3 linked regions of the Macaca mulatta genome follow. The protein of the gene in region 2 interacts with the protein of the main gene of each other region in a pairwise test. Links are inferred from orthologs where the notes say so. Each region holds a gene or a part of one and is shown on either strand. Other genes may lie near its edges.

Region 1 (6,640 bases), on a different chromosome or scaffold from region 2:
GGCATGGGCTCCTCTCTGGCTGCTGAGCCATTTTGCTTGCTCTGTGAGGACAGAGGGAAAAAATGTGTTTTCCTAGGTCTTGGCAGCCAGCTCTGCTGGAGCCGCCTCCCTGCTGGAAGGGGAGCAAGGCTGGGAGAACCCAGCACCACAGAGAAGCAACGGCCTGGGGTTCCAGCCCTAGTTCGGGCACCCTCTCACACTCGCTGTGTGGCTTCAGGGACAGCACTCCCTCTCTCTGGGCCTCAGTTTTCCCAATACGCCAAACCTCCTCCAAGTCTAAGGTACCTTCCAACAATGACTATCTCCGAGTTTAGAGTTTCAGATTCTGGCTCAGAGCTCCAAGACCACCAGCAGAATAGAGGCAGGGAAAGGAAAGTGGTGAAGGCTTCCCGAAGGTGGGGGCATGAGACGCAAACTATCAGACTATCAGACTAGCCCTCTTCTCCACCTGCACAGCCACAGACCACTTCTTCTTTCATCTGGACCATGACCACAGCTGCCTGCTCACCAGCCTCTTGCCTTGCCGTCTGTCTCCAATCCCCACCATTGATCCTCCCGCAAGAGCTGTCAGAGGAATCACTACTGACACAAACCCACGAGCCTCTCCGTGCTTGGCCCATTTCAAAACCCTGCAATGCCAGCCTCCCCGCAAGCCCACACAGTAGGGTCCTCAGGCCTCAACCATGTTCCTGTCCACTCTCTCCCAGGATCATATGCTAACAAATGAATGAACAGATAGCAAATTCTACTATCCCTGAATGTTTCCCAAAGGGACAAGCGGGCAGTGCATGCCTGTGTGTGTGAGGGAGGAAGTTGCCTGAGCCCTGAAGGATCTGCTCGCTTTTGGGAGACTGCTTCAAGATTCCTCCAGCCTCTGCCCTGGCTTCCTGTTTCTCTGGGGTTCCCAGGCCTTTTTCTGCATATGTTGTGGAGCTCTTCGAGGACAGGGATCCAGGGCTCATTCATGCAATCAGCAAACATTCGAGAAGCACCCATTGTGTTCCAGGCTCTGTGCTGGGCCCTGGAGACCCTGAAGTGAATCACAGTTCCTGCCTTCAAGGGCTTTGCAGACAACCACCACTCTATCAGACTCAGTGCACTAGTCACCTCCCCAGGGAAGCCTTCCTTGATTGCCCTGGCTAAGTCAGAGCGCTGTTATGTACTTTCAAACCACAGTGACTTCTCCCTCACGTCACCCATCTCAGCTGTGTTTTGCATTTACTTCTGTGGATCTTTCTTCAACTCTGTGTCCACTGCTCAGCTGTAAGCTCCCAGAGGTCAGTCTCTGGATCTGGTCTGTTCATCTCATCCCTGGCATCTGGTCCAGGGCAGGGGCCCAATGGCAATGCAGGGCCCAGGGGTGATTCAATGGGAAGTTAAACCTCTCAATGCTAACTTTTCATCTGGGACTGAGTCAACCAGCCACTTCCCCTCATCCCCTGACCCCAGGCCCTACTTTGGAAAGTTTCCTGCCCAGCTTTGAGGGTGGGCCTGTCTGGTTCCTGTGCTCCTGGCCCCAACCCCCCTGACCTACTCTTGGGTACCCCCAGCTCCTGGCATGGGGCAGTCGGCTCTTTCTCTTCCACAATTCACCTGGAAAATATGCTGCCTGCAGTCTGAGACTTCCAGAGCTTCCCCCTTCTACCCACCATCCTGCCATCCTGGCTGTTATCTAGTTCCAGTGGCAGATGGGAACACTGAGGGTCTCAGCTGCTGCAGCAGAGCTCACCCAGGGTTCAAAGATCCAAAGTCAAAAGATCATTGGTTCCTCACACTAGGAAGTTCCATTGCTCCCCTCCCATGATTCCCTAGCCTGTGGGTGGGTGGAGGGGGAAGGTGGATTAAGACCAAGGAATCTCTAGCCCCCAGCCCATCCTGCAGGCTGCTACAACAAACAGGTGCTTTCTGCAGGGCTATTGGGTGAGTGGGTAGGTGGTGGCTAGGTCAGGCCCCACCCCTCGCTCGTTAACCCTTCGTGCAGAGGCCTATCCCCACTGCCTGCTGACCCTGCCTGGCTCAGGGTGAGGACTCGGGGTCTGCCGGCTGGCTCAGAGCCTCAGCTAGCTTCCGGCGTCCAGCTGTAGGTCAGTCTGGTCTCACTAGTCCCACTTGCGAACTGAAACTACCAGGAGGGCGGAAACCGGCTCCACCCCATCCTCCAAGACCTAGCAGGTACAGCCTCCAGAACCCGGACTAGCGAGAAAGCCTGTGGTCCTCTCCCTGCCCCGCACCTTTGCAGTCAAGGTTTTCTGGCCCTTCCTGTTCTCACGGGACTGAGGGGATGGGCAACCCTGGGAAGAAGGAGAGTACGTTGGGTTTTCCCTCCCTAGGGAGCCCCAAAATCTGGGGACAAGAACCTGGGCTCCAACTCACTTTGTTACCAGATCCACCAGGGTGCCAAGCGGGGGTGGCTCACACCCCTCGCTCCTAGCTTAGCTGGGTGGGGTCTTTGATACCTTGCCCCACCCTGTGGCTGCGGGCACCGGCTCTGGGCGGGGGACAAACACTGGGGTCACGTGGCAGAGGCCCTGGGAAACTCCGGGGAGAGCGGGGACCGGACAGCCCTGGGTAAGTAGGACTGGGGAGGCCCGGGCCAGAATTCCCAGACCCCGTGTGAAGACGCATGGGTCCGCTTCCTTCGCTCGGGTCCTTGTTCCGCGTTTACTCCGGTGGCCAGCCCAGGGCACGCCCTCTCCGAGGTACACACCGCTGGTGTACAGGCCCCAGGGAGCGCGCGCGCGGACACGCACACACAAGCACACACGCGCACACACAGCACAACAGACACACGCCCCCCGAGGTACACCGCGCACGCACGCACCGGGCAGGATACCCAGGCCGCCCGCCAGGGAACACACGCCCGACCGCCCGCCCTCAGACGTAAACAAACCGCGCACGCACCGCCCGCCGGCGCCGGGCCAGGGCCTGTTCCCACCGAAGTCACGTAGGAGCACAGCGCCCCCGCCCCCGCCGGGCGGACGCGGAGATCGCCAGCCTGCGCTGCCCCTTCCTCCCCGGCGCCGCCGCCTCCCCGCCCGCGCCCCGGGAAGGGGCCCCGTCTCCACCCCCACTCCGCCGAGCTGGCCTCGGCCCCGTCCTCGGCGTCCCCGGGACGGCCGCTCCCTTCTCCCCGCCCCGAGCCGTCGGGCGATGGAGCCCCGGGAGCCCCGACGGATCGGGCCCCGGCGCCCACCCCAGGCGCGTCCTGGGGCGGGAAACCCTGCCGCCTCGGGGTCCCGCGCACCGCCCTCCTGGCCCCGCGTTCCTCACCCGCCTCTGGGCCCTCTTGGCCCGGCGCACTCGCACGCGCGCGTCTCGCCGCTGTCCCGGCCGCTGTCCCGGCCCGCGCTCTGGTCTGTCTCCCCTCCGCTCTGAGCCGCAGGTCGCTCTGAACCGGGCGCTCTGGAGCGCCGCGCTGAGTTTTGTTGTGGGGAGGGCGGCGCAGGGGGCCGAGGCCGCGCGGAGTTGTAAGGCGAGCTTCCCGGAATTACTCACTCACAGGATTCCTTTCATTCATAAAAACCCAGTCATGCGGTGACGTCACCGTCCCGGCTGCCCTCCGGCCAGCAGCGGCCGCCTGGTCCCTCGGCCCCGCCCCCGTCTGACCCCGCCCCCTGGTAGCCCCGCCCCCGGGGCCGCTCTGGTTCCAGTGCTCGTTGGGTGCGTTCACGCGACACGTCGCGAGAGCCCCGTGGGTGTAGGTGTCATTGGCTCATTTTGCAGTCAGTGGTCCTGGCCCTCTTCTTTCGACCTACACCTTCTGCCTTAATGATCTCATCCAGTCCCGTGGCTTTAAATGACATCTATGACCATGAGCCCCAGGTGTGTATTTCCAGAGCGAACAGCTTCTCTCAGTTCCAGACTCATAGCCAGCTGTCCACTCTGCACCTCCAGTGGGTGTCAGATGGGGACTGCAGAGGACTCGGCCCAAAGACCGCTCCTGATGTCAGCCCTACCTCCACTCCCCTGCCATCCCATCTCAGCTGCTCAAGCCAAAACCTGGGAGCCTGGCTCCATCCCTCACTCTCCCTTCCTTCCCACCTCAGGACTCAAGCTAGTGGTGTCTCCAGGTCTCCTGCATAGGACCACTTCTCACCACTTCCAGTCATGGCACCTGGTCTCAGCACCATCAGCTTACCCGGACAATGGCAGCAGCCTCCGGATAGATAGGCTCCATACTTTGCCTCCAAAGTCTTTCTTTCTACACCAGCCAATGTTCTTCTCAATGTTCAACAAAGCTCAGGTTGTTTACACACCTCCTTTGGCCACTTTCTCTCCATCCACTGCTCTTCGGCCACAGTGCCCTTCTTTCTGTCCCCCAAACATACCGAGCTCATTCCTGCAACAGGCCTTTGGCACTGGCTGTCTCGCCTTCTGTTCACTTGCCTGGCTTTTTCTCATCTTTCATGTCAGCCCAGATGTCACTGCCTCAGAGAGACCTTTCCTGACCACCCTGGTTAAAGCAATCTTCACCTCTGAAATTTTATTTTTATTATTACTGCTTTTCTTGAGACAGGGTCTCACCCTGTCACCCAGGCTGGAGTGCAGTGACACAACCTCCTTCTCCCGGACTCCAGCCATTCTCCCACCTCAGCCTCCCAAGTAACTAGGAGGCTGAGGTGCACGCACCACCATGCCAGGTTCTTTTCTGTATTTTTTTTTTTTTTTTTTAGAGACAGGGTTTTGCCATGTTGCCCAGACTGGTCTCAAACTCCTGAACTCAGGCAATCCACCCATGTTGGGCTCCCAAAATGATGGGATTACAGGTGCAAGCCACTACACCCAGCCTTGAAATTTGTTCTTATATTACCTTAATACTTCTGTAGGGTGTTTCATCATTTATGTATGTGAGTGCTGGTTATTGTCTGTCTGTCTTCCCCAACCAGAATGTATGTTTTACAAAGGCAGGCCTTGTCTGTTTTTCTTTTTTTTTTTTTTGAGGCAGAGTCTCACTCTGTTGCCCAGGCTGGAGTGCAGTGGCATAATCTTGGCTTAGTGCAACCTCTGCCTCCCAGGTTCAAGCAATTCTCGTGTTTCAGCCCCCTATTAGCTGGACTACAGGTGTGTCACCATGCCTGGCCAGGCTGGTCTTGAACCCCTGACCTCAGGCCACCCACCTCGGCCTCCCAAAGTGCTGGGATTACAGATGTGAGCCACTGCGCCTGGCCAGGCTTATCTTGTTCACACTGCCTGCCCACTGTCTGGAATAGTGCTTGGCACGTAGTAGGCCCACAGTAAATACATGTTGAAGGAATACATGACTGGAGGCTCAGAGAGGTGAAAGTGACTTTCTAAATGCACTTGGCTAGGAAGTACCAGCACTGGAATTGGAATCCAGGTCTGAATGATTCCTGGCCCAGGGTACATCGCAGGGGAGGAGGGCCACATAAACATGAGGGCTGTGTGCCGTGGTGGGAAGCCCCACCCAAAAGAGATGGCTTCAGAGGCCACATAGGGGGTGGGTGTTGCTGTTCATCCCGCGCTTTCCTTTGCTCATGATGTCCCCACTGCCTGAAATTCCATCGCTCCCACAGTCTCTCCTGTGAAGCCGACATCATGGTACTTCCTCCACTGTGGAGGGCATAGGACCTCTCCAAATGGGGAGACCTCTGTGTGGCACCCTGATCACCAGCAAGGATCCCCGCTCTTCTTGATGTAGCGAATTCTATTTCAGCGCCCTTGTCTTGCTTTCCTGCCTCTGTGCCTTGGTCCACCAGACACTATGACTTCTTTCCCTTCCCTCCCACAGGCCGTGGGTTTGGTATGCAAATTGGCCCACTAGTTTCCCAGATGACCAAATGTTGAGGCAGCTCTGTCTAGCACTCAAAAAACCAATTGCTCACTCCTCTCCATGTGCATAGCTAAAAGAGCCACCTAGGTTAACTTTTGTAACCTTTGGGGTACAAAAGTTCTTAATTTTAGAAACTGCACAATGGAGTCTATTTTCTCTACTCCCCACCCCATTTAAGAATAAAAACAAAACAAAACAGGGTCTTGCCCTGTTGCCCAGGCTGGAGTGCAGTGGCATGATCATAGCTCACTGCAGCCTTGAACTTCTGGGCTCAAGCGATCCTCTCACCTTAGCCTCCCGAGTAGTTGGGACTACGAGTGTGCATCACTGTGCCTGGATAATTTTTCTATTTTTTGCAGAGATGGGGGTCTCACCATATTGCACAGGTTGATCTTGAACCCTTGGCCTCAAGCCTTCCTTCTGCCTCAGCCTCCCAATCTACTCCCTTTTTTATTAGTTTCTCAGGAGCTGGGGCCACGCCTGGAACATTGTAGGTGCTCAACTAGTGAGTGAATTCCCAGTGGACCTGAACAACACTTCTGGACACCATGCTGCCTATATCCTTTACTCCCATCCCAGCCCCCCAGAACAAGGGGTCAGTGCCTCACTATCCTCCCTTTCTGGTCAAGATCAAGGGCCATGGTGCAATGTCCTACTTAAAAGTGGGGGCTCAGGCCGGGCATGGTGGCTTACACCTGTAATCTCAGCACTTTGGGAGACTGAGGCAGGAGGATCATTGAGCCCAGGAGTTCGAGACCAGCCTGGGCAATATGGTGAAATCTTATCTCTATTAAAAAAAAAAAAAAAAAAAAGAGAAAGGAAAAAGAAAGAAAGAAAATGACCATCAGG
Region 2 (6,450 bases):
TCATAGTTCAAAGTTATTATGGCAGAAGCTGACACATAGAAGGCTCAAACTTTAAGTAGCACAGGATGTTGTTCAACAGTCTTGTTTTCATGTCTGGGGTATAGTCTGGTATAAGAAAGCCATATATATTTCTCCAACAGTTTCTGAATGTTAATATTTAATATTATATACTTGAACATATTTTTGCTTTCATTTACAGAAAACATACCATTAGCAATTGAATAAATCTTGGCCTATACCTTAAAGCCCTTTTAATAAATGTTTGTTGGTGCTTATTTAAAAGCAGGTAGCAGTGAAATTTCAATAGCTCCTAGAAATTAAATGATCAAAAAAATAAACTCTGTTCTCTATTTATGGCAAACTTACAATGAATAAACATTTCTACAGTCAGAGATGAAGACAAGCAGGTTAAAAATGACATCTAGTAAACTTGTCCTCCTCTACCCTGGTGTGCAACATATTTCAGTCAACTTTCAGAAAGTGGCTGGACCAAGCACTTAAATGCCCTAAGGCTGACCTGGACTAACTTTTAGGCAAATCATCCATCAGATCCTATAAGTCCTGCAGCACACTTAATTCAGACAAATAAGACAATAATTCCAAAAACAACTTGTTTAACAATAAGGACTAAGAAAGTGTTTAATTTTGAGATGTACTATTCTCAAAGACCCAAGTTAGCTTCAACTAGATAAGACTTGAGCCCTTATGCTTGCTATAGTTCAAAAGTGCCAAAACATGAGATTAGGGTTGAATTTGCGCCATCAGGTTTCTGCTAGCTGTTTTCAACTCAAATTTTCCCCATTCTGCTCTTTCCTTCAACCTGGTTTAACCCTGTCCGTCACAGTCTTCACCATATTCTTACTACCAAACTTATTTTTGAGCACTACTTCAAAACAAAAAGCGCCAATGGAACAGAAGAAATGTACCAACTAGCAAGGCGAACAAAGGCAAAGACTCCAGTAGCAAAGAGATTTAATTAAGAACAAAGGGAAACAGTTCCTGAAAACTGTGAGGCAGAATCTTAGACATTGCCAAGACCCCAGGAATTTAAAAAACTTATTATATTAAGAAACAGGCTGGCGCAGTGGTTCACACCTGTAATCCCAACACTTTGGGAGGCCGCGGCGGGTGGATCACCTGAGGTCAGGAGTTCGAGACCAGCCCAGCCTGGCCAACATGGTGAAACCCCATCTCTACGAAAAATACAAAAAATTATCCGGGAGGTGAGTGCCTATAATCCCAGCTACTCTGGAGGCTGAAGCAGTAGAATCACTTGAACCCGGGAAGTGGAGGTTGCAGTGAGCCAAGATTAGGCCACTGCATTCCAGCCTGGGCAACAGAACAAGATTCCATCTCAAAAACAAAACAAAACAAAACAAAACAAAAAAACAGTCCTGCCTCTCTAAATTGAACCCACCGAGGCTTCTGTGTCTTCCTGAAAAGGACCACAGTGGGTAATCCCATTGATGGGTTGTATTCACTCTCCCAGCATTTAACAAGGTCCACCTCCCCCAGTCATACAGTGATTAAGTGTCTTGCTAAATGGAAAAGCTGCAAACATCAATCTTTTACATTCTAGCCTCTCCTTCCCCCAGAATAGGCAAATCTCAACTTACTCACCTTTTGAAGTGTGAGTTTTTCTTCCTATTTAAAGTTTAAGGAGTTTTGGTAGTCTGGAAGTGGTGATTAGGAGCCCCCAGGAGTCAAACCTGTTTGAATGCTACCTTGGCCACTCAATAGTTTGGTCACCTTAGCAGGTCTTGGCCTTTCTCTGTGCCTCTTTCCTAACCTAATGCCTGATCTAACTATTATCTCTGGTTTTCCCAACCTGGAAACCAGGGATAATAGTATTTCCCGTGAGGTTACTGTAAAATTATGCATGTGAAGCAATTATGTTTGGACCCAGGGAAGTGCCCAGTAACTTATCTATTATTATCTTAGTGCCAAATTCTTCCTGCATACTGAAAAGATAACCCACGTTCAAGGAACAGTTAAGGAGGAAATACTGACACAAAACCCCCTTTTAATGTCTTCAGTCAGGACAGAGGAAATTCCCAGAAAAAAAAATGTACTTGTTGTGTTCCTTTTTTTCACGCAGCTTTGTTAAACATGATTTATCCTCAATAGAAACAAATCTTAAGAAAAATGATGCATTTGGCTTTCAACTTTTCCTGGTAATCCTAAAGACAGAGTCGGTTTTCCCCCAACGTTGCTTATAACAACCCAGGGCAAGAAAGAAAGATTTCAAAATGGCCCAAGTTATTTTTAATGCGGAAAAGACTGATGTGAGTTATGCATTTATCCTCCTACATGCTGCTTCCACAACCTCTCAAGAGATTTTTCACATATCTAAAAAGTCAAGTTGGTCTTTGCTTAACATTCATTCAGGAGATGAGAGGCCTGTCCTATTTTTCTTTTGTTTGACTTAAACATAATCTCATCGGTCTATTTCAATATCAGCTTCATCCCTCATCCAGGAAAGTACTTTATCTCTCCAAGACACCCTTGAAAAGAGTAATGGATGTTCCTTCCACCTAATGGGGATACTGAATCTAAGGCTCTCCTTACTGCCCTGTTTATCAACACATCCTCTGCACAGAAGGTGAAAAACTACATCCTACTACCACTTCACACCTGGAGAGTTTTTTTGACAAAAGATCAAGAAAATGTTTGACTCAGTTCAAATCTTTATGGATGACAACAATCTAATATGAATCATAAACGAAATCAATTCTAAATTTTCTTGTTCTTTTTCTGTTTTCAAATATGCAAATCGATATCTGATTACAAAGGCAGAAAAGCAGTTATTTTTATCAAACGTAATTGAAAAATACACACTTAATGCAGTACATATGTTTTATGCATTTTTGTATATGGAATGTTATATTACACAGCAAAGAAAGAAAAATTTAATAGAGGGTTGTAGACAATTCGGGAAATTAGAAAAACCAAAGTTCATTTTTATCATATATCCTTCGGTCAAACAAGCATTCCTATAGATAACTCTTGAACAGCAGCTATTAAATAAATCGTAAAGTACAATTTACTTCTTCCCTAGTTGGAACCAGAAGAATATAATCCCAATCAAGATTGGGGAAAAGTTCAAGACAACTTTAAAGGGGGAAAAAAAGGCACAATTAATACATTGTCTATAACTTAAAACTTTACAATAGATCTTTGGAATTAACCTAAGACTTTACATTTAACAGCATAAACGAATTTACCGTACATCAAGTACACGTTTCCTTGAATTCCAATTTTTTTCCTAAAATTCATTTACAAAAGAAATTAGAAATATAAATATCTACTTTTAAAGTTTCTACAAGGATGAGCTGAAACTTCTTTTCACTTTTATAACAATTTACAGAAATTAGCATGTGTTTTGAAACGCAAGCGTTCCACTCTCTGCCCCTGCAAAAGAGGGTGGACATGTTAAGAAACTGAGGCAAATTCTCAACTGAAAAGGAAAAATATATAAAGTACTCAGGGAAGAAATAACAGCTGAAAGCAAAAAATTATTAACAAACTAAAAGCAATAGAAATTCTAATCTACACTCGCAACTCTTACCCTTGACAGCACAGAAGAGAATCTCCTGTCTTACACATTTTGGAATTGCAATTCTGAAACGCTAAATCCAAAGACAAAGCCGCTCTGGGGAAAATAACAATTGCGCAACAGATCAACAGCTCCAACTTGTCCCTTGGCCCTGGCGCGGCGAGGTTTGCACGCTATAAAGCAGGAAAGGGCCAACCGAGGGCTGCTGTGACGGCCAACAGACCGCTGTCACAGAGGCCAAAGCCACGCGCGCGGTGCGCGCCACCAGGGGGCACCGCGTCCGAACTAGACGCCCCGGGTGCCGCCGACTCCGGCCTCAGAGTCCGCTGCCCTCGCCCGCACTTTCCCGCGGCGTTGCGAGAGGCCAACTCCGGGTGCCCGGGCCCGAACCCCTCCCCGGCCGAGAAAGTGCGCGGGGCCCGGCTCAGCCGCCACACGTCGGGGCTTCTGGGCCCGCTGGGCACTTCAGGCGCTCCTCCCTCGTCCCGGGGTTGAGCTTTCAAGAAAGCTCAAGGCTGCCAGAGAGTGATCCGACAGATGGATGACTTCGCAAAGCAGCGCCCACAGACGGCCCAGCGGTGTGAGCGCGCCGCAGCCCGCACACACGGAGGTCTTGGGGCGCGGCGAAGGGGCTCTGGGTCCCAGCACGAAGGCGACCTCAGTTCCCCCGAGAGTGGCCCCGTGACTAGGCACATTTTTGCCGGCTCTGAGGCGGGGGAGCCGCGCAGCCCCGGAAGGGCCGGGCCGCGCCGGCTCAGACGGCCAGCGTCCGCCCCTCTTGCCCCGCCGCCCGCCGGGCCGCTCAAACTTAGGGGCTCCGAAGCCCAGCTCTGGGGACCGGGGACGCGGCTGGATTCGCCCACCACTGCCCACGCCCGCGGGCTCAGTCCCCAGACCTTCCCGCAACTTCCCACCCGTTCGCCCTCGGGCTCGTGGTCGGTCGGACCACCCGGCCGCGTCCCCGCTGCCCCTCCCCACCCTGCCCCAGCGCAAGCGCGGCGGCTCCAGCCAGCGCTGCGGTCCTGGCTCTGGCCGGACGTGGAGGAAGCCGGCTGCGGCTATCCCTCCCGGGCCGCGGTTCCCTAGCTCCCCCGCCCCCGTCCCGGCACCACCGCAGGGCCCAGAGGGCCGAGGCAGCACCTGCTGGGACGGGAGTCCCGGCGGCGGCAGCTCCAACTCCATCATGCTGAGCTGGGGACCGTGTGTTGGGGCTCCCCGACGGCGGCCCCGTTCCGGCTGCCAAGGCGCGGCGCGGACAGGGCGGCTCTGGTGGCGGCAGCGGCGTCGGTGGCTCCTCCGGGCTCCCCGGCACTCGCTGATCGGCGACACGCCGGCGGGCCCCTGCCCCGCTCCGCCTCCCGCCCCAGAAGGGCGGGGCAAGAGCCTGGGCCCTTCCTTCCCCCGCCGGCCGCGCGGGCTGAGCTTCCGAAAATCCCCCACCCGCGCCTGGGCTGACGCAAGAAGCTCGCGGTCCGGGGGCGGGAAGGGACTGCCAGCTGGGGTCCCAGCAGGCGGGGGATCGAGAGGAGGCCACAGTTAGCGCCCCGGTGCCGGCGTTCAGTTGCCCTCCCCCGCAAATAAGGGCAGCGCTCTAGCCCGCGAGATAAAGAGTTATTTGCGAAGGTCGCTGGAGTTCGGACGCTTTGAAACAGTTTAAACAGTTGGAACAAACACACCCGGAGCCCCGGAAAGGCGTTGGTGTAGGAGCTGCGCCTCCCTGATTTGGAGTTACAGAACCTTGCCCTGCTTTTATCTCACTTTACCGCCCGAGAGTGGCGCCAGCCGGGGTGGGGGGCTAAAGGTTTGGACCCAGGCCGTGCCACTGCCAACTGCCCTCCCGCCCTTGCTCCCCTCCCGGGCTGGGGGCAGTGGGCCCTGCCCAGGGGAGATGTGGACAGCGCCGGGAGCTCGTGTTCGCAGTCACCCTGAACGCTCTCCTCTGAACTCCCACGTGTCTCCGTCAAGGGCAAACGGAGAAGTCCCTTTAGGTCGGAGAGTGGTCAGTATTGCCTACCCAGAGCTGGGAGAAAAACGGGAACCGCAAGAGAACTTCTTCCCACTAAAGCACAGCCACCACGCCACAGATGGCGCCCTTCAACAGTGTGTAATACCACAACATGCTATGATCTTTTAATCTTTACAAATTTCTTTTTCACGTACTCACAAAATAGTACAAATTTTAAAAAGTTACAAAAACGTTTGTATAGTATTGGCTCATTTTATAAAAACATGTGCCCAGAAAAAAATTGAAGGATAGTTACCAATATATTAAATGCTGTGGAATCAATGATTTTTATCTTTTTCCTTGCTACTTCCAAGTATGCTTTAAATCTGCAATGCGTATGTGTTATGTCTTACATTAAAAACAATTATTTAAACATTAATTATTGCCCAGAGAAAACTTCAAGTATTTGAAATCAGGAATATTGTGAAACGGGTTCAAAGAGGATAGATAAATGGTTTGGTTTTGTTTTTTTCTTTCCTCTTACGCATTTACAGTCTTTCTAACTCTTTAACAAGACTGGTTTTCAGTTTCTACCTTCCTGGAATTATTCAGAACCAGGTGAAGTAGATAATACTGGCAGTGGTTTTACTATTTCATTCAAAAACCACACACACACACACACACACCCCTGACTATAGCGATCAACGCCCAAAAAACTGCAGAGCTTACTTTCTCTCTGTTGCATAATTTGACACTCCCAGGATTTATGTGTAAATTTGTATATTCAGATATTCCTTGAGATAAGTGAAGCCTACATTAATTACTTGTAATTGAAGCAAGCTTCTTCAATTCCTATTAATTCCTTTCAGCTGTTATGTGAAAACCCTGCAACATTATCTGCACAATGAAAACAAGTTAGGAGAAATTGTTTGCAAAGGACCTCACATGA
Region 3 (6,406 bases), on a different chromosome or scaffold from region 2:
TCCGAGGCTGTGGGATGCGGGAGAGGGAGGAGGGGTGGGAGGAAGACCAGGAACGGAGGACGGGAGTTGTGTTCGAGACTCGGGTTTAGAAATCCAGGAGCACAGCAGTAAGCACCCTCCCGCTCTCCCTCACCAGTGACTCCCACGACAGGTGCAATCCACAAAACCAGAGGCCGCCCAGGGTGTACCTGCCTCTCCCAGGAGCCTTTCTGCCAGAGACCCCAAGCCAGGCACCCTCCACAGGGGGCCACAAGGGTAGGTGGGGCCACTGTGGCACTGGTACCCAGTGGGCACCTGCCAAACAGGTGTCAACCGACTAACTGCAGCCCGGCTGCTCCCAGAGACCAGCCAGACACCCTTCCTATTGAGGATGAGGACCCCCACTGTCCGGCTGTCCTGGACATGGGAAATGCGGGAGGCACCCCACTTGGCACCCCCCAGCCCGGCCCGCACCAGCCGGCAGCCTGGCCCTGGCTGGCTGCCCTCCAGCAAGCCACGACTGTCCGCCTGGCTTGGAGGACGTCTGGTCACCTTGCATTTGCAGTCTGAGGAAGCTGTGTCATTCCGCTACATCCAGAGGTGACTCAGGCAGCTGCAGCAGCAGAGAGCAAACTGCAGAACACACCACACCTCCTCCAGTCCCTGCCCTGGCTCCCACCACACCATCCTCCTGTCCTCAGCTTCCAGCTTCCCGTCAGCGTCCTGTTCTCCCCGGCCAACCTGGGGCTTCAATCCACTCCCAGCTTCCAAGTCCAACCAGGGGCATTCCGGGGGGCCCAGATGCCCCCCAGCCCCCAACCGCATCACTCACCGGAGTTGCCCCCACCCCTGTCTCTTTTCCTCGTCCACGCTCCAACCGGGCTTGATCCCAGCCCTCAAGCATCTCCCGCCCGAACCCGCAGCACCTGCCCAGGCTCCGGCCTCCAGCTTCTCCAGTGTGGACCACAGCTTTGCCAAAGGGATGCCCTCACCCTGATCCTGGTGCCCCCCACGCAGCCCCACAGGCAGTCAAAAGTTTTGGGGTTCCTCCCAAACCCCGACCCCCTCACCCCAACACCGTTTCAGGTTTCTGATCACCCCCATCTGCAGAGAGCACGTGGCCCCCTGCCCCCCTCAAGCCCTGCTTCTTCCAGAAACGCTCCCCACTGCTCTCCTTGCGTAGGCAAGCACCCTCTACCAAGGCCTGGTTCTAGATCCTTCTGGGGACGGGGCCCTCCCCGTGGTGTGGTGAGCTCCTCGCAAGCAGGGAGCATGTCTTCCCTACACCCCATACGAGCCTCCCACTGTACGAGATGAGCCGGCCCCGCACGGGAGGGCAGCGAGAGGGCAGTCTCCACCCCAATACCTTCCCCAGGACGCCCGACGCGCAGTGCGAACAAGCAGGCAGGTTCTACACCAGACCCCACCGGCCCTTGGGACGGGCCAGCAGACGTCACGGCCTGGGTTTCCTCATCTACAGCGGCCGGTCGGGGTGGGGCGTGTGACCTCTCAGGTTCATTTGTACCTGCTCTAAAACTCTATGATTTTAAGACGACACTCCCAGTTTCCTGAAACTGTAGGAAAGCGGAAACATGACGGAGTCTGTGACTTATAAAAAGCAAAAATAAATAGCGGGGAAAGGTATCTTCCATTCGCGGAGAGCAGGGAGGGTGGGGACGGAGCGGTGAGTCACTGTTTACTGTTGAAAGGCAGCCACACGGAGCCTTCTCCCAGCTGGCCAGATTTCCATTTCCCGTGTGGACTGGACCCGAAACCCAGAAAGTCCACTCCAGAAACCTTTAGACTCAGAAACAGCTGGGACAGGAACAGGCACAACTTCTTCTCGGTCTGGGTGGCAAACAGCTTTGCTGGAGACTGTAAACAAACGCAGCCATCGCCGAGCCCCGTGGGTGAAAGCGCACGCCTTGTAGACAGCAGAGTGGCCCGGAAGACGGTCTCACTTAACAGCGGCCTCCCGGGTGCGCACAAAGGCTGGCGCCCCGACAGCCCCAACCCTTGGTAAACGCTGGCTCCCGGGTTTACCAGCACCTGGGGAATCAATGCTGTAGGGAACCAGCCCCTCAAAGCCCTGGCTCAGCTCAAGGATAAAAGGCAGGAGAAACCTGGTTTGTTTTTCTGCTTTAGTAAATGTCTTATTTTGGAATAATGAAAGGTCTAGTTTTAAAAAGCAGACTCCCTCTCCCAAGGTCAAACTCAGACATTCCTACTGGGTTACCTAAGAAGGGGAGATGTTCTCTTAAACGGCACTGGACGCCCAAATAGGATGTAGGTGTGTCCCAGACACCTGCACAGCCCACCTATGTTCTCCAGACCCCGCCCACAGCTCTTTCAATACTCCACATCTCTGAAGACACTGGGCTTGGAGAAGCTGCACAGGGCATCCCACTCCATGTTGGAGACCCCCTTACAACAACACACTGTGATAGTGAAACCTCAGTGCCAGTAGAGACCTGGCAGCCCACCCTGGAGAATCAGAGGGGTGGGAAGGGCAGTGCCGGAGCCGAACCACAGTGATATCCCCTAGTCCACGGTGTCCCGCAGTGGGGGGCGTTTTGAGTCCCAGGATCGTCCCAAGGCCAGGCACCTGGCCAGAGAGTGGCTGGCTGCCTGTGGGTCACCTGGTGAATGAATGGTGGATCTGATTTCTGCCTCAGCTACAAGAGCCGCCTAAGCAGCAAGAAACAGCATGCTCAGGGATGCAGGACACGGGGAGAGGGACACAGGAGGCCCCGCAAACATGAACACACACGGTGTGAGGGTGAGAATGCAGCACAGGGCCACTGCTGTACCCCAGGGGGACCCAGGTCAAGGGCCAAGGCCAGGCGGGGTCCTGGCTTTCTGGGTTTTTCCGCGGCGCCTCGACCCACCCCCCCAGTATCTTGAGGGTGTGCAAACAGAGACACACACACACACAGCGTCACGAGCACATAACACAGTTTCCTGAACTTGACAAGAGACACAGAAGAACCCACGCAGTGGGAGCGGGAAGAGGCCTGAGCCCCTGCCCCACATGTGAGCAAAGGGACACGCGCCTTGGGGCCCCTGTCACCTGCTCCCCTCCTGCCTCCCCACGGCCTTCCTTCCAGCAACCCTGGCAGGTGGGCGGCTGAAAGCAACACCAGTCCCAGGATCCTGCCTGTAGGGAGACTCGGTTACCCCCACCCCGTCCACGGGCACGCGTGGGCCGCAGCGCCGCCCGTCACCGGGAGGAAGCGAGGGGGGCAGGCCGGGGCCGCACGCGGAAGCCACGCTGGGGCGGAAGGCACGGGGAATCCACGCGCCCGCGCCCTCCCCGCGCCGCCCGCACGTGGCGCCCGCCCCGCCCCCCGCAGGTGTGAAGGCGCGGGCACAATGCGCGCCGCCGACTCGCGTGGACTCCCGTGTTCCCAGGTCTGGGGTCCACGCCCCAGGGCCCCGGGCTTAGGAAGCATGGCCCGGGCGGCACGTGCAGGGCAGAGAGCTTCGCGTCCCGGGGAAGCCCCCTGGGCCTGCGGGGCTGGGCCCAACGGGGCAGGTGCGCGGGCCGCGTAGGGGGCCGCATGGGGGTCTCGGGCCCTGCGCACCCAACCCCGCCACCCTCGGCCCGCGCCCCCGGGCGGCCGTGACTCAGCGGCCAGGTGGCCCCAGCCCCGCGTCCCGGTCTCCGTCCCCGCCGCGGCCCGGTCCCCGCTGCTCCACCGCCCCTCACCTGGCGTCGAGCGGAGGGCGCGGGCGCGCGGCGGCTCCTCGCGGGCACGCGCTGTCCTCGCGCCGGCGCTCACTCTCGCGCTCCCCTCGGCCGCCGCCGCCTGGCGCTCGGGCTCCGACTTCACGAAGAACAACAACTCCCCCCCGCCGCCCGCCGCCACCGCGCCCGCCCGCCCGGCTCCCCAGCATCTGACACCGCTTCCGGGATCCGCGGCGCGCGCGTCACGCCGCCCCGCCCCCCTGGGGCCACGCCCCCTCCCTCCCCCGCGGGCACGCCCTCCTCTCCCGCCCGGGGGTCCGCGGGCCCCGCCCGCACCTGCAATTCCCGCGCTTTGGGAGGCCCGGCGGGAGGATCTCTGTGGGCCAGCAGTTCAAGACCAGTCTGGGCAACATAGCGAAACCTCCCTTCCCCCATTCCCCGTCTCTACAAACATAAAAAACATTAAGGCCAGCTGGGCACAGTGGCTCATGCCTGTAATCCCAGCACGCTGGGAGGTCAAAGCAGGAGGATCGCTTGAGCCCAGGAATTCCAGACCAGCCTGGACAACATAGTGAGACCCCCATCTCTACAAAAAATTACAAAAAGTAGTCGGTCGTGGTGGTATGTGCCTGTAGTCCCAGTTACTCAGGAGGCTGAGGCAGGAGGATGGCTTGAACCTGGAAGGTGGAGGCTGCAGTGAGCCATGATTTCATCACTGCACTCTAGCCTGGGTGACAAGGTGAAACCCTGTCTCAAAAAACAAAACAAAACAAGCAAACCAGCAATGTAAAAATGGGGATAAGCGGCTACTGGTCACAGCTTCTGTGAGTGGGGCCAGCCCCCTTCTAAAGCCCCAGCTGCTGGTTGCCAGGGGGCCACAGCAGGCCCAGGATGGGGTTAGGGCACCACTGGCCCAAGGAGTCCTGTGAGGGATCCTCAGGTGGGAGCAGGTCCCTGAGGGAGCTGCCTCTGCTTCTTGTCGCAGGTGGAGGACAGGCTGGAGTGGGGACCCGTCCAGAGTCCCTCAGAGGGGAGGGTGAGCCCCTTACCAAGCTTCTGGGTCCCCAAGTCCCGCCCTCCTCTGAGCGCTGCGGGAAGAGGAGTCTCAGGCCTGGCCAACCAGGGCACCCACGGCATCTGCCCAGGGTTCTGGGAAGCCTGTTTTCTCGGCTCAGGTGGGACTCGGGAGCCTGTTTCTCGGCTCAGGTGGGACTCAGGAGCAAGGACAGGGAGGTCTGTGCATCTTCTGGGTGTCATCCTTACCACCGCGTGCCTGGGGATTTAGGCAGCCGCCCAGTGGCCTCTTGCTGTGGAGCGAGGGGGCAGCCTCCCGGACCATCTCTGACCCCCACTTCTGACCACCTGGGAGGCGCCTCCTTGCTGAGGCCCACGCTGCCGTCTGGGGTAGCCAGACACAGTGATGCCTGCAACCTGGCTGCAGAAACAGGTGCCAAGAAATAGCAGCAGTAGCGACAATGTCCCACGTCCCCAGGATGTTTGCAGAAAGACATCCCCGGGGGATGGGAAAGCTGCTTCCCTTGTCCCGGCCCACACTTTGCACTTGGGGTTCTGGGATGCGCTGGGAGCCTCCAGAGAAGCTGTGAGCGTCTCCTCTTTACGTTACTCATGGTGTCGCTGCTCTAACCCAACTGCATTCTTTCCATAGTAGGCTTTTGTTACTAATCGCACAGTTATATTATCTTTTTAATTTTTTAATTTGTATTTATTTATTTTTTTATTTTGACACAGAGTCTCACTCTGTCGCCCAGGCTGGAGTGCAGTGGTGCCATCTCAGCTCACTGCAAGCTCCGCCTCCTGGGTTCACGCCATTCTTCTGCCTCAGCCTCCCCAGTAGCTGGGACTACAGGTGCCCACTGCCACGCCCGGCTAATTTTTTTGTATTTTTTAAAATAGAGACGGGGTTTTGCCGTGTTAGCCAGGATGGTCTCGATCTCCTGACCTCGTGATCTGCCCGCCTCGGCCCCCCAAAGTGCTGGGATTACAGGCGTGAGCCACTGCGCCTGGCCGTATTTACTTTTGAGACGGAGTCTCACTCTGTCATCCAGCCTGGAGTGCGGTGGCACCATCTCAGCTCACTCCAGCCTCTGCCTCCCGGGTTCAGTGGTTCTTCTGCCTCAGCCCCCCGAGTAGCTGGGATCACAGGTGCCCACCACCACATATGGTTAGTTTTTTGTTGTTGTTGTCGTTGTTGTTTTGAGATGGAATCTCACTCTGTTGCCAGGCTGGAGTGCAGTGGCGCAATCTTGGCTCACTGCAAGCTCCGCCTCCCAGGTTCAAACAATTCTCCTGCCTCAGCCTCCTGAGTAGCTGGGACTACAGGTGCCTGCCATCATGCCCGGCTATTTTTTTTTTTTAATTGTATTTTTAGTAGAGATGATGTTTCACTGTGTTAGCGAGGATGGTCTCGATCTCCTGACCTCATGATCCGGCTTTCTCGGCCTCCCAAAGTGCTGGGATTACAGGCACGAGCCACCACACACAGCCAATGTTTGTATTTTTAATAGAGACGGGGTTTTGCCATGTTGACTGGGCTGGTCTCGAACTGCTGGCCTCAAATGATCCACCTGCCTCAGCCTCCCAAAGTGCTGGGATTACAGGCATGAGCCACCACACTGGCTAATTTTTGTATTTTTAGTAGAAACGGTTTCACCATTTTGGCCAGGCTGGTCTCGAACCCCCGACCTCAGGTGATCCACCCACCTCGGTCTCCCAAAGTGC

The links.
Region 1: the proteins of NFE2L2 (region 2) and MAFF interact in binary tests that used the Homo sapiens proteins (3 or more experiments, as listed by UniProt). The link is inferred for Macaca mulatta from reciprocal best matches to the Homo sapiens genes NFE2L2 and MAFF.
Region 3: the proteins of NFE2L2 (region 2) and MAFK interact in binary tests that used the Homo sapiens proteins (3 or more experiments, as listed by UniProt). The link is inferred for Macaca mulatta from reciprocal best matches to the Homo sapiens genes NFE2L2 and MAFK.

Annotation. Positions count from the first base shown.
Region 1 is NC_133415.1:13,287,847-13,294,486, forward strand, and holds the start of MAFF (transcription factor MafF), read right to left. Parts: upstream 3,600-6,640; 5' UTR 3,271-3,599; exon of another isoform or gene 3,245-3,270; intron 2,569-3,244; exon of another isoform or gene 2,503-2,568; intron 2,439-2,502; exon of another isoform or gene 2,374-2,438; intron 2,173-2,373; exon of another isoform or gene 1,967-2,172; intron 1-1,966. UniProt on the Homo sapiens protein: Since they lack a putative transactivation domain, the small Mafs behave as transcriptional repressors when they dimerize among themselves.
Region 2 is NC_133417.1:82,176,510-82,182,959, forward strand, and holds the start of NFE2L2 (nuclear factor erythroid 2-related factor 2), read right to left. Parts: upstream 3,704-6,450; 5' UTR 3,569-3,703; intron 1,957-3,568; exon of another isoform or gene 1,621-1,956; intron 1-1,620.
Region 3 is NC_133408.1:35,468,834-35,475,239, reverse strand, and holds the start of MAFK (transcription factor MafK), read right to left. Parts: upstream 3,949-6,406; 5' UTR 3,689-3,948; intron 1,451-3,688; exon of another isoform or gene 1,346-1,450; intron 1,194-1,345; exon of another isoform or gene 1,134-1,193; intron 1,015-1,133; exon of another isoform or gene 681-1,014; intron 580-680; exon of another isoform or gene 1-579. UniProt on the Homo sapiens protein: Since they lack a putative transactivation domain, the small Mafs behave as transcriptional repressors when they dimerize among themselves.